Arabidopsis thaliana: one gene and its partner. The protein of the gene in region 1 binds, or shares a complex with, the protein of each later gene. Each region holds a gene or a part of one and is shown on either strand. Other genes may lie near its edges. A codon is read from its position in the direction of its gene.

Region 1 (6,966 bases):
TTCCAAGTACTTCTTCTTGCTATATTCTTTTATTTGATAGGATCCCTCTTTACATTCTATATCTGCTGTTTTTATTTACTAGTGAGTTATGTGATATATAGCTTTTACTTTCTTCTCTTTTTTTGAAATAGTCCTTCCTTACTCACGATCATGTTAAATTCAGGTGGAGGTAGCACTTAGAGATCTTATTCTTTCTGACTACGCAAAGAAAAACAATGTGAATACCTCAGCTCTGACACAATCAGAGATCCGAGATATTATTCTTGGAGCTGAGATTACTCCACCCTCTCAACAGAGGCAACAGATAGCTGAGATTGAGAAACAGGTACTCGTAACTGTTACTTCTATGTTCTATCAGGTTTTCTAACAAACACAAACATTGTGAGAGTGGACTGTGACTATTATTCTTTGTTCACTGTAAATCTATATCCTATTTGCAGGCAAAGGAAGCCAGCCAGCTTACTGCAGTCACAACAAGAACTACAAATGTTCATGGTGATGAGCTCATTGTCACCACCACAAGCCCTTACGAGCAATCTGCATTCGGTTCCAAGACAGATTGGCGTGTACGTGCAATATCAGCCACTAATCTTTACCTTAGAGTCAATCACATATATGTGAACTCAGATGACATAAAGGTTAGAATCCAATTCACTTTGTCAATTAAGTAAAAGCCTTTCAGGTGTCGACCTTAAACACTGTCTGTTGTTGTCACAGGAAACCGGATACACCTACATCATGCCAAAGAACATTTTGAAGAAGTTCATATGCGTTGCGGATCTTCGTACTCAAATTGCTGGGTATTTATATGGTATTAGTCCCCCGGATAATCCCCAGGTGAAGGAGATCCGTTGTGTTGTGATGGTGCCACAGTGGGGAAATCATCAGCTAGTTCACCTGCCGTCATCTCTTCCTGAGCATGATTTCCTAAATGATCTTGAGCCCTTGGGATGGTTGCACACACAGCCTAACGAGCTGCCTCAGCTATCACCACAGGTATATATATATATATATTTATCTTTACCTTCTGTTAACCTCATTGCTAACTGATCTTTTCTTTGATAGGATGTAACCTCTCATTCCCGTATTCTGGAGAACAACAAGCAATGGGATGGAGAAAAATGCATCATCCTGACCTGCAGTTTCACTCCGGGCTCCTGCTCTTTGACGTCATATAAGTTGACCCAAACCGGATATGAATGGGGGCGGCTTAACAAGGACAATGGCAGCAATCCTCACGGTTACCTTCCCACCCATTATGAAAAGGTTCAGATGCTGCTGAGTGACCGGTTCCTCGGGTTTTACATGGTAAGACAACAGAGTTTGCAATTGTGCTTTTGTCCTTGGATGATATAAACCATTGAAATCTGATTTTTGTAACTGATGTTATGATAGGTTCCTGAGAGTGGACCGTGGAACTATAGCTTCACTGGAGTGAAGCACACGTTGAGCATGAAATACAGTGTCAAACTCGGATCCCCAAAGGAGTTCTATCACGAGGAGCATCGACCCACTCATTTCCTGGAGTTCAGCAACATGGAGGAGGCTGACATTACAGAGGGAGATCGCGAGGACACATTTACTTGAGATATACTCAATTTTCTTACCGTGTGTGTGATTTAGCTTTATTTTGCAGTATAGACTTGTAAGATGTTGTACTGTCTTGTGCTTTACTGAGATAGATAGTAAGGTCCCTAAATCTTAAAAAGATGGTTTGCCACTATAATCAAAATCTTGAATGTGATGTAATCATACGTACGTGTATAACGGAATTTTGGTAACTAACGTCTTCGATGAGAGAAAATAAAACGACAAATTTAAACTATTTTAAGAGGTTTTTCCCATTTCGAATAAACGCCAAATGTACAAAACATGGAAGAACAAGCAATACAAGTCTCTTATCTCCGGAAAGATAAAACAGAGATCAAAGAACAGAGTATATAGACAGAAGGAACACGTTCGAGCTTACAAGTTTTTTTTGTAGCCATAAATGGTGGCGATATTCAATCCAACTAATGCAGAAAAGGCATCTAACTAACATTATTAAACTCGGGAAGTATTTACAGCAGTTTTATCATCCCTCCTCTAACTAGATATTAGCATAAAAATGAAATTAGGGAATACAAGAAAGAATGCAGAAAGATAGGAGAACCCCAAAGACTTGGAAGTGCTTGACACGTCCGTAGCTCCGTCCGGCAAAGCACCGTCTTCTTCTCTAGATAGGTGCTGGACCGTACCGGAAGGAGCTGGTCTCGACGTTTCTGCATCACACAATCTTACAGTTGAACCAGATTTTGAACCGAATGCATCATCCAAGTCACTGTCCCGGTTAACACACAAACCAGCATTGTTATACAGCCTCAGCTTTCTCCTCATCCTCCACACTGTGTCTCTCTCGAACGGTACTGGTCCTGTCAGACTGTTATCGTTGAGCCTCAGCTCGCTTAGATGCTTCACGTCCCGGAACTCCAAAGGAATCTCTCCGGTCAGATTATTGCCCTCTAGGTGAAGGACCCGAAGACTGTTTAACCGAGTCAATGATTTCGGTATCGAGCCCTGGATGTTCGTATTCGAGAGAACAAGAATCATCAAGTTCTTGAGCCCTTTGAACGCGTTTTCAGGAATCGTTGTTGAGAATTTTGTGTTGCCTTTGAGCATTAAAGCTTGAAGAGAGTTTAGGCCTTGGAGAGAAGACGGGAATGGACCTGATAACCGGTTATAGCTCAAATCCAAAAGCACTAATTGGTTGAGCCGGTTAATCGATTCTGGGATAGGACCAGTGACTCTGTTTCGGCTAAGATCGATTTTGATCAACGATCCACAGCTTGTGAGTGTGGGTGGAACCGGTCCGGTTAAAAGATTCTGGTTCAAATCCAGAACGCTCAGCGCCGGAAGAACAAAACCGGGAATGGAACCAGTCAACCGGTTACCACTCAAATCAAGCGATCTTAAACCGGAGAACCGGTTGAACGACAAGGGAATGGAGCCGTTGAGGTGATTTTTATGCAAATCAAGAACTTTCAAATTGGTGAGATTGCCCAATTCGTCAGGGATAGGTCCCAAAAAACCATTCTCCCTCAGAACCAGCGTTTGCAGACTCGAGCCGAGGCGTCCCAGAAACGCCGGTATGCGCTGTGGGGCGCGGCCTAAACATCGGTAGAAGAACAAGGCTTTGAGGTGTTTGAGCCTCGTGAGGGACTCAGAGACGTAAGAGCGTTGTGGATCACAAGTCGGAAACGCCGTGTCGTCTGAGAGCGCTCCGAACGACAGAGAGACCACGTGGTAGACGTTATCCTGGTCCGGCATACACTCGATCCCGTGCCATCTCCCTCGGCAAACGTCTGGAATCGCGGCAGCCCAGTCGTTGCCGGTCGCACGCATAATGTCGTAGACGGCGTCTTGCTCGTCAGGCTCCGTGCGAGCGCCGTCATTGGTCATCGTGAATCCAGTTTGTGGGCCGTCGATCAGAGCAGATGGGGCCGTCGAGTCGGAGGTGATCACAGTGAAAGATCTGACCAACGGAGAAACTATAGACAAGACAATGAATATTTGGCGGAAGAATTCATATCGTGCCATTTCTTAGTTGTTGTTGTTGTGTGAATGCGGTTTAGGTTCGAAATTGTCAGTGTGTATATGTATAATTCTGAAGAAACAATTGGTGGGTCCATAAAAACGTTCGCAATGTCTTTATGACTTTCACGGGATAACTCGAGGAGCGAAATAAATAAAATTCATGATTCTCGATTTCTGCATTTATTGCTTTCACGAGATATTCCCTTCATTCGTCTTGTGTTGGGCCCTAGATCCGACCGCTTCGTGAACGGGACCCGACGTCTCCTTATCGTTTACTTTTTTTTTATTTGGGCTGAGCCCATTTTCCCATTTACGATATGTTGGGCTATTATTCAATTTGTATTTTGAACTGGGCACTGTATTTGTTTTTGTAACAAACCGTAGATAGCAATTGATAAAAAGTTTCATATGTTTGATTCTGAACCTTAAAATCATTATTTTGTTGTAACACGAGAATCTGAATAAACGGACGCGTGGTCTGTGCATACGAAAAGCACATGCCCATGGAGCAACACATGTAATACGTGTCATCTTACTAGTAACATGACATATATGAATAATGAAGTAACTACGAAAGCATCAAAACAAAGATTAGAAGTTCATAAGCCTCGTCCCATTTTCTTTGAGACTTTGACTATCACCCAAATACAAATCTTCATGCAGTCGTACAGCCGTCTGATGCAGTTCAAGGTCAAAGATCTGATGATCGACAAGCGGCGGCTGGTCGAAGTTCCTGATAATGCCACTCTAGGGGACGCCTTGAACACTATGGTAAACCACGGCTAAATAATTGTTATTTTTTTGGTTGGAGTCAACCGTTTTAAGTATCAAGAATTACTAACAAGACTATTCTTGGTATCAAACCGGTGGCAAACCGAGTTAGAGCTGTACCGGTGGCTGCCAAACCAGGCCAATGGCTGGGAGCCGGGGGATCAATGATAGTAGAGTTGGACAAACAGAGCGGAAGTGCAAGAAAACAGTACATAGGAATGGTGACCATGCTCGACGTTGTGGCTCACATCGCCGGCGATGACGGCGAGAGTGGGCTTGATAAGAAAATGGCTGCCCCTGTCTCTTCTATCATTGGTCATTGCCCTGAGGGTCTTAGCCTCTGGTCTCTCAATCCTAATACCAGGTTAATAGTATAGAAGATTTGTAAAATTAAATTGCTTTCAGTATAATTAATCCTTCCCTTTTATAATGTTAGATGTTGTACACTTTTCTCACATAGTAAGAATTCTTTTGCAACACCTAATATATATACCCATATTTCAGTCATTAATTGTTTATAGTTTCATATTTTTTATAATTCAAACTAAATGATAAATTAGAAATTATAATGCAAATTTTTCATAGAAAAATGCAAAACATTTTTCTCTTGTCAAAAATCTTAACATTATATATGAACGGATAGAGTACTAATCAAAGATGGTCATTGATGAAAGCAGCATCATGGATTGTATGGAGATGTTGAGTAAAGGAATCCACAGGGTATTGGTTCCATTGGACAGTAATACAGAAAATATAACAGGACCTGAGTTGGTAGAGTCAGCTTCTGCTTACGCAATGCTGAGTCAGATGGATCTCATCTCTTTCTTCTTCGACCAATCCTCTCAATTGCATGGTATCCTCTCCCACACCGTCACTGATCTCTCCGCTATTCACAACACTGTTTTAGCCCTCACTAGCCAGGTAAATTTCACAAGTCAAGAATTTTCATCTTTATTCATTAAATCCTAAGTTAAACGCTTGTAATGTTTAATACCAGGCTAGAGTGAAAGATGCAATACAATGCATGAGTATAGCAATGCTCAATGCGGTTCCTATCGTCGAAGCCTCTGGTGAGGGAGAGGATCATAAACAGCTCGTCGACGTAGGTGTCTTTACTTATACATGTATCTATCAGTATCTATTAAGATCAAATGTTGATTAATTTGGTGTTTGCTGGTGCAGGGGAAAAATCGGAGAGTGGTGGGGACATTCTCGGCTAGTGATCTGAAGGGATGTCATTTAGCCACATTGCGTTCGTGGTTGCCGCTAAATGCACTAGAGTTCGTCGAGAAAATCCCAAGAACTCTCTTGTTCACCGCTGCTACCTCAACACCAGGGAGGGAGCTCGTGACGTGTCACGTGACATCAACCTTGGCCCAGGTGATCCATATGGTCACCACGAAACGTGTACACAGAGTTTGGGTCGTGGACCAGAACGGTGGGCTACAAGGCCTTGTTTCTCTTACTGACATCATCGCTGTGGTCCGATCCGCTTTGCTTTCCGGAGCTCCGGATCTGTTTTAACTCGCAACTTTCAGTCTTCTCTCCAATTACTCAAATTTTCTTTTATTTGTTTCTTAGAGAAAATTTACACAATTTTGCGTTTTTCATCTCAATGACTCATCATATCGAATGTTAACATCACATTTACGTAACACATAAGAAAAATATAGGGAAATGATATAAATAGAAAAAATGTCAAAGCAAAGGAATGACGAATTTCTACCAAAAGAATATCTTATAAACACAAATAAACATGTTAACAAAATTGCACATGGAATAATCCCATTAAGGAAAAAATATTGTACATGGATAATAAAAGAAAACAAAGCAATCATAGAAATTATGAAATACTGAGAGGGTAGTGATTAATGAATAGGGTACTCGAGCACGGGGCGCAAAGAAGCATGACATACGAATGAGACAATTTCAGTTTTCGTATATAATAATTCCATAATCATAATTTAATCACTAGTTTTAATTGGTAACATAACCTTAAAAAAGCATCCACTCATTATGCGCTCCACTTTACTACTTACTCTGATAACATGAAAAAGTATATGTTTAATACTAGCTAGTTGTTTGTTCCGTTTCCAAGCACGCTCTTTCTTCTTTTCAGTCATTTTTAATCCGCATTTACAATAATATTTAGCTATTTTCATATATCATTCTATACTAGCTCACAATAATTACATATGAGCACGCTTTTTTGTGTTCAAATATTATAAATCTTCGTTAGTTACCGCTGCTTTTTATAATTATGTATACTTTCTGGTTCCAGGAGACTAATTAAGGAAGATTATTAGAGGCTTCTTATACGTGCCATATGATTATTTATTTATGTACTGTCATGGTTCATATATAGCGATGTGATACCAATATACCAATCACCAAAGTTATGAGAAAATCACGTAACCAGAGGTGTTGGTACATACATTTTCTGTTAAAAATAGTTAAGAGGACTTGTAATCTTTTGTGTTTAACTATTGATAATTTTTTACTTTATTCGGTGAAACAATTTACGCATGTTTCTGTGTTGTGCTTGTGTTTCTTGTATTCTTCTTGTGTATAGCTTTCCTTATAAGAAAGAAAAAGAAGAAGATTAATTGATTAGATCGAGAA
Region 2 (6,372 bases), about 18 Mb from region 1:
AACTTTTTTTTAAAACAAAATTTATTTTTGACTATTTTAATTGAATGTCTACCATTTAAGTAAGTGATGCCGTTCCACAAAGGGGATCGCCACACCAACTCTAGACAAGATTAGGAGAAATGCAACTATGATGCATGATTCATCCTATGTCAACTTAGAGAGATCATATGCAAAATGGAGAGTGATAAGCTTAAGGATTGAAAGTATAGTCTGCATTGGAGAGTGAATGTCAAGCACTAATTCAAGCTATGCAACATTGCTGGATTCTTGAATCTGTTGAATCATTTTACCATTTTTAGTAAGTTACCTGTTATCTACAAAGCCTCGCATTTATTGGTCGGTGAAAAATGAATATGCCTCGAATGATTCTCTAGAGAATAATGGTGCATACATTTTTAATGAATAATTAATCTCTGTATATTACACGTGTATTATTAAGACGACGAGAAATAATTGATTTGATTGTAATTATTAATTGACATCCAATTATTAATTGATTTGATTGTTCAACTCGATAATTAGTTGCGAAGTGTTAGGCTCGATTTCGTTTCCTGCCTTCCAATTTTAGGCAGGTTAATTATCTCAATTTTCATATAATTTTGATGCCAAAAAGAGAAACAAAACATATCTTTCAAAGTTGATTAAAAACAAATCTAACGTTTGCGTAGGATAACACTATTTCAACAGTCCAGATTAAGATGTTTCATGTTGACTTTGTAGCCCATATATCTTGAGCTACTTCAACAGTCATATGTCATTTAACAATCCTGCAAGTTGCATCCCATTATCTTTCTTCCTTCGACTATTGACCATGTCTTCTTGGGATATTTTCAAGCTTTCTTTTTCAAAATGGGAAGACAAAATTAATATAAATAAATTTTTATTTGCCAAAGTCATTGTTTTATTTTCTGATTTAAAATCATTTTTAATTTCATTTTTCATAGTCAAATAACATAGACTAGTCTTCACTTTAAAAAGCGAGACGGAAATAGCTTAAAGTTTAAACACAAAAGTAAAATTTATTACAAATGTTTTTTTCCCCTAAAAACACTTAAAATCTATAGAATATTGTATGCTCATAACATAAATTAGAAATTACGAGAAAATAAACAACTAATAAAAAACAAAACAAAAAAAAAAGTTTTACCAAAAAAAAACAACTAAAAAAATCTTTATTCGTGTACCAAAAAAATGAAGAACAAAACTTTATTCTAACTTCTAAGTTTTTTTTTAAATTAAACCAAAAAAAAAAACGTCTAAGTTTTTGAACAAAAGAAAATGATTTCTTTAACTAATGCAAATCAGATTAATGTAAGAAGATGTAAATTTCAAAACGATCCATAGTAAGAAAAAGTTTATACTTTACACATTGTTACATAAATGATTTTTTTGGTTTAACCGGTTACCGGTATGATGGAGATGGCTTTTAAAAGGAAACAATAAATAATTGGCCAACCGAAGCATTTGACTTTGTGATGTACCGGTTCAAGAATCTGATTCGGTCGTGTCATACAAACTCTCTTTGAAAAGGCCTAATAAAGCCCAATATTAATTATAAGACTTCAAAGTGGGCCAATAGCATTTAATTTAATATCCCAACAAATTGTACAATAGAAAAAAAGTTTCGCCGCCAGCCAAAACTGATATTTTAATCACAGACGTCAAAAAAAAATAAACGGCGGAGATTCAATTCAAGCTCTAGATGGCACGTGATAGTATCTCCCTCTGCACGTGCATCTGTAGATGACGCTACATGATTCGGCGACTGAGCATTCGAAACTAATCATCACACGTTTACACGGCGAACATGCGCCACACGCGTATGAACAATCCGGTAAGCTTGATCCTGTTGGGTACATTTCCATTTCTACCCCTCCGTTTTTGCTTATTTCCTTCTTCACCACATTACAACAAGAAAACAATTAATTGACAATGACTTCTTTTATAAAGAAAAAATTAAAAATTAATTAAAAGAAAAAATCAAATGCAGTTGTTATTATTAAAAAAATATTTTTATATATTAAAATATGGTATTTTTGCACATAAATTAAAATGAGAGAAGTGCACCGTGGGAGACAGGACCTACCTTGTGGTGCGTTTGAGCTTGTTCTATATCGGCGTTTTTCTTTTCTCCGCCATTGACCGTGTTTTCTACATTAAAAAGTATAAAATGTTAATATATGAAAATCATTACCAAGTAAAATATAAACTATAACCAAAAGATATTGATGTGACGGACTTAGTGGCGGCGTGCGAATGGAGTTAACGACCAAAGAACACGCGGCGAAGACTAGGACGAGGCAAAACATATACTTGCGTACAAACTTCGTCATGTTTATAATCTTTTTTTTTAACAAGAAGAAACTTTCTGGTTGAGGCAGAGGTTTTAAAGAGAAGTTTCTAGAAATGATAGGAAGCAAGTACTACGTGTGTTATGTGTTGTGTGTGAAGTATTAAAGGTGGGATAAGTGAGATATGTGTATATATAGTTGAGGAAAAGGTGAGAAAGAATTGGTTATGTGTTTATGATTTATGATAATAAATGATGAAAAGAGGCACACATGTTGAAGGGTCACATGATTCTCGTCGATTTTCTGAGAAAAAATCATTATGATTTATTCTTTTAGTTACCAATGAACATGTTCGCGGGCTATGAATATTTTTGAATATGAGAAACTGTTCACATGTACGTAGCAATAAAGCCTGAGATATGGTTGTGACTTGTGTGCATGTTTTCATGTTCAGTCAGTGGATATATAATATGAAGATCTCATCAATCATATTATAAACCATGGATGAAAATGTTTAACTAGAAGACTATATTTCACTACAAATCATAGTTCAACATAAAACTAAAAAAAAAATTAGTTGAGCATCGATTTATGACCAATACATCATAGTTTATATAAAAAAATATGACCAGTAAATCATATATATATATATTAATATACACAAAGTTCTACCGCTAAAAGACCAAGAAGCCCATCGATCATATTGTACACAAGGATGAACGAATGTATAATTACAAAAGTCGAAGCATTAAATATGTAAGTGTTAGTGGTATCATGAATATAGAGAGAAGTTTTATACGTAAAGATATGGTATATAATATATGGCGTGGGACCAAAAAAGGAGTTACTATAAGGGAATAGTTAATAATTGTAGTCATAAGGTTCACAATGGGAGAGAGAGCAGAGAACTTACAGAAGCAGCCAAAAAGTGTTCAGACATCTTGAAAATAACCTGTCACACAAACGTGAACCTTGCCCTTGGTTTTAATGACCTTTTCCCAAAGCACCAAATAATGAGCTTAGCATATTTTTCAGTTCTTTTTTGTAACGAAGAAATTCCATGTTTTATTGATAGATGATTCCTAGCGTAGGCAGAAATGTTTTCTGGTCACAAAAAGATTCCTAGCGGTTAAACTAGTCCTTTCTTCTTGGTTGATATTTATATAAAATCTGAGCTCCAACAAATATGATGATTAATATGTGTTTTGGTCTAGAAAACATTTTTATGTGTTTCGAAGGTCTAAGAAGAAAGAAATGTTGGTCAAGACTATTTCAGAATTTTTTTCTTATTTTTTGAGTACTTCGTTGATAATTTAAGATATGTCCAACAAAAATGGTAGTCTATAGCAGGCTATCCATATCCATTAACACATTCCAATTTTTAATAATGTCTATTTTGATATTAGATAAATGGAGTTCATGTCCACTAAAACTCATGTCTATTAACGTTCATGTCATTAAAGTTTATGTTCAAATGGGATGTTCAATGGGCATATCAGAACCAAATTTGAACATAATAGTTTTTGGTTCATATTTTAATCAATACATAAGTCAAAAGTCTTATACTTTGAAATATATCTAAAAACAAATTTGAACACAATTCAACAAAGTATCAAATCTAAAAGCAATTAAATGCAAATTTAAACTTCTTATATTTCTCCCTTGCCATCTTTGTCTTCATTAAATAACTCAATATGATCATCTAAGTACAACAAAAAAACATATTTACATTTAAATTCAAATTGATTGAAATATGACAAAAGAAAATATGTCAAATAGCCAATTCCTCGCGCATATCAAAGCTTAAACGTTAGTAGGGAAGGAGACAACTCTGATACTTGTTTAAGACCCGACTTCCTATGCTGAATGAAGACTTTTGAAGCTACAATTTTAGACAACTCCTTGAACCGATTTGCATTATTTCTCCAATATGCAAAATATCCATGCTCTTAAATGCTATCATGTCCAAAACCAGCTCATTCAAATATTTGTCTAATGCTGACTATCCATTAGCCCCAGCCGTTTGAGAAATGAAAGCATAAAACTCTTCCATTGTGAAAGTTAAGAGAACCATCAATACACATAAACCATAAACGATTCAAACCACTACATCAAAACATAGAAAGTTTTTAATAGAGGGTTAAAGATGGAAACTTACACCATATCCTAGAAGAATGTTTTGTCAAACTATGGTTTTTGAAGTTCTAATTGCAATTTCCTTTGGATTCTTTATAAACTTCAAAAAGCTTCTTCAGCTTCTTACGCACATGTTCAATCTTAAATTTACTAATGGAAGCATCAAGTGTATCGAAGCAATATTGTAACATAGAGAACTTCAATCTTGGATCAAACACTGCTGCAATGACAATGATATCACTGTATTCACTCCAATATTTGTCAAACTTCTCTTGCATACCAACAACCATGATACAGAACTTCATCATCAGATTCTTCATGGCTTTTAACCACATTTCAATATGCCATACTTGCATGAAGTATAAATTAGATGTTGGATAAGATGATCTAGAGATCAAATTCGTCATCTCTACAAATGGGTCAAGAACTCATGAATTAACTCAGCTCTTTCCCATTCTTCAATTGGTGGACAACTCTTAATCTAATCTTTGGCTTACTTCACTTGTTCTCTAGACCAAACCTGTGATAGTTAGGATGTTTCTTAGTTCAAAACATGCTTATGTTATCTATTTAATGTATTGTAATATGTCCCTATGATTCTATGAAAAATATTCTACTTGCTGGTGGGTTGTAATTGTGTTGATATTCTACTAAATCAGTAATAGATTATGACCTATGTTACAACACAAGTTGATTTTTTTTTAAGATTCAAATTATATAAGCTTATATTTAAAATAAGTGATGCTATTGAAGTAGAAAAAAATACAAATATATATCTTATCTTGTCAAATATTTGTTTTAGATAGATTATTTAATGTTGTATAGTAATGTATTTTATTAAGTCTTTCATAATATGACCCACATGTTTAATTAATAGGTAAAGAGAAATTAATTTGTTCTTGATTTTTGTTTTTGTAATGGCAATCAAATGTAATAGAAAAAGGAGTAATGTTCTTTCTTGTCGGTAATATTATGTGATAAATCTTTCATAATACGAGAGTAAAAGGATAAAAGTTTGTAGTAATATATAACTATAAGAGGATAAAACTATGTTGGTAAAAGTAAATTAGCAAAATTTGATATTTAATTTGCAATATTTGCACAAAAAATGTTACTTACTTTCTTTTTATACTTATTCGTTTTGAATCAATTATATTGTTACGATTTTTCATAGAGAATGAGATCAAAATAACCAAACACACAAGTTATTCAAATATAAATGTAAAGTTTAAACCCATGTATATTTATATTTGAACTAACTCATGTTTGAGAGGAATATAATAGTACTAGATAAGGCTCGCCTAAATAGACGGTGTAAGATATAAATTTATTCAAATATTTATCGATAATATTTAAATTTTGATTAGTAAATAAGGATCCACACAATATTTCTAATATTTAATTTAGTAATTTTTGTATTAAATAAAATTTCAATCACACACATTCAATTTTAATATACATTTTAACTATCTATTACATCATAATAAACTGAAATTTAGTTCTATACACTCCATCTGATTGATGATATTTGAACTTTAAATAGTAACTCATATACTCTTCGGTATTTAATTTAGTATTTCTTTAAACCAAATTTCAATCTTACACGATTTTGCAATACAATTTAAATATCATAATACAAATACAATTTAATTTGATCGTATAGAATTTAAATACAATTCAATTTTGCAATACAAATACAATTTAATTCTGTATACTCCATCTTATTGTTAGTTTCCTATTTACACATGTTAACATCTGAACGATAGACTTGACACGTGTCACGATCAAGTGAGTTACTAAATTTGAAAACCATACATTACATAGTAAGATACTTGCTATTAATGCAGTTTTGATCCTAGCTAGGTTGAAGTTTACTTTCCTGTTTTTGACTGCATATATGATTTATCAGAAAAAACTTAAATACAGCGACAAACCTTGTTTTCTT

The links.
Region 2: the proteins of TMM (region 1) and EPF2 are in contact, whole or in part, in a crystal structure (PDB 5XKJ), measured with the Arabidopsis thaliana proteins. Residues at the interface, in NP_178125.1 of Arabidopsis thaliana: Trp73 (codon at 3,360), Ile77 (codon at 3,348), Pro78 (codon at 3,345), Arg82 (codon at 3,333), Gly83 (codon at 3,330), Arg84 (codon at 3,327), Trp85 (codon at 3,324), His86 (codon at 3,321), Gly87 (codon at 3,318), Ile88 (codon at 3,315), Glu89 (codon at 3,312), Met91 (codon at 3,306), Val101 (codon at 3,276), Asp110 (codon at 3,249), Asp111 (codon at 3,246), Thr112 (codon at 3,243), Ala113 (codon at 3,240), Lys135 (codon at 3,174); in NP_564442.1 of Arabidopsis thaliana: Asp75 (codon at 1,832), Tyr78 (codon at 1,823), Ala79 (codon at 1,820), Gly81 (codon at 1,814), Ile104 (codon at 1,745), Arg106 (codon at 1,739), Arg112 (codon at 1,721), Tyr113 (codon at 1,718), Tyr114 (codon at 1,715), His115 (codon at 1,712), Val116 (codon at 1,709), Pro117 (codon at 1,706), Ser118 (codon at 1,703), Arg119 (codon at 1,700).

The regions. Positions count from the first base shown.
Region 1 is NC_003070.9:30,125,988-30,132,953, forward strand, and holds TMM (Leucine-rich repeat (LRR) family protein), read right to left. Parts: upstream 3,663-6,966; 5' UTR 3,577-3,662; coding exon 2,086-3,576; 3' UTR 1,832-2,085; downstream 1-1,831. Other genes in the region: SUS2 (Pre-mRNA-processing-splicing factor), read left to right, coding at 164-325, 441-638, 718-996, 1,066-1,308, 1,396-1,587; CBSX4 (Cystathionine beta-synthase (CBS) family protein), read left to right, coding at 4,231-4,344, 4,440-4,708, 5,022-5,265, 5,342-5,446, 5,527-5,868. UniProt on the Arabidopsis thaliana protein: Promotes cell fate progression in stomatal development. In leaves, needed to correctly orient spacing divisions, to limit the number of asymmetric divisions in neighbor cells, and to promote the asymmetric (amplifying) divisions of meristemoids.
Region 2 is NC_003070.9:12,468,951-12,475,322, reverse strand, and holds EPF2 (Putative membrane lipoprotein), read right to left. Parts: upstream 2,456-6,372; 5' UTR 2,334-2,455; coding exon 2,240-2,333; intron 2,152-2,239; coding exon 2,087-2,151; intron 1,896-2,086; coding exon 1,692-1,895; 3' UTR 1,349-1,691; downstream 1-1,348. UniProt on the Arabidopsis thaliana protein: Controls stomatal patterning. Regulates the number of cells that enter, and remain in, the stomatal lineage by inhibiting protodermal cells from adopting the meristemoid mother cell (MMC) fate in a non-cell-autonomous manner.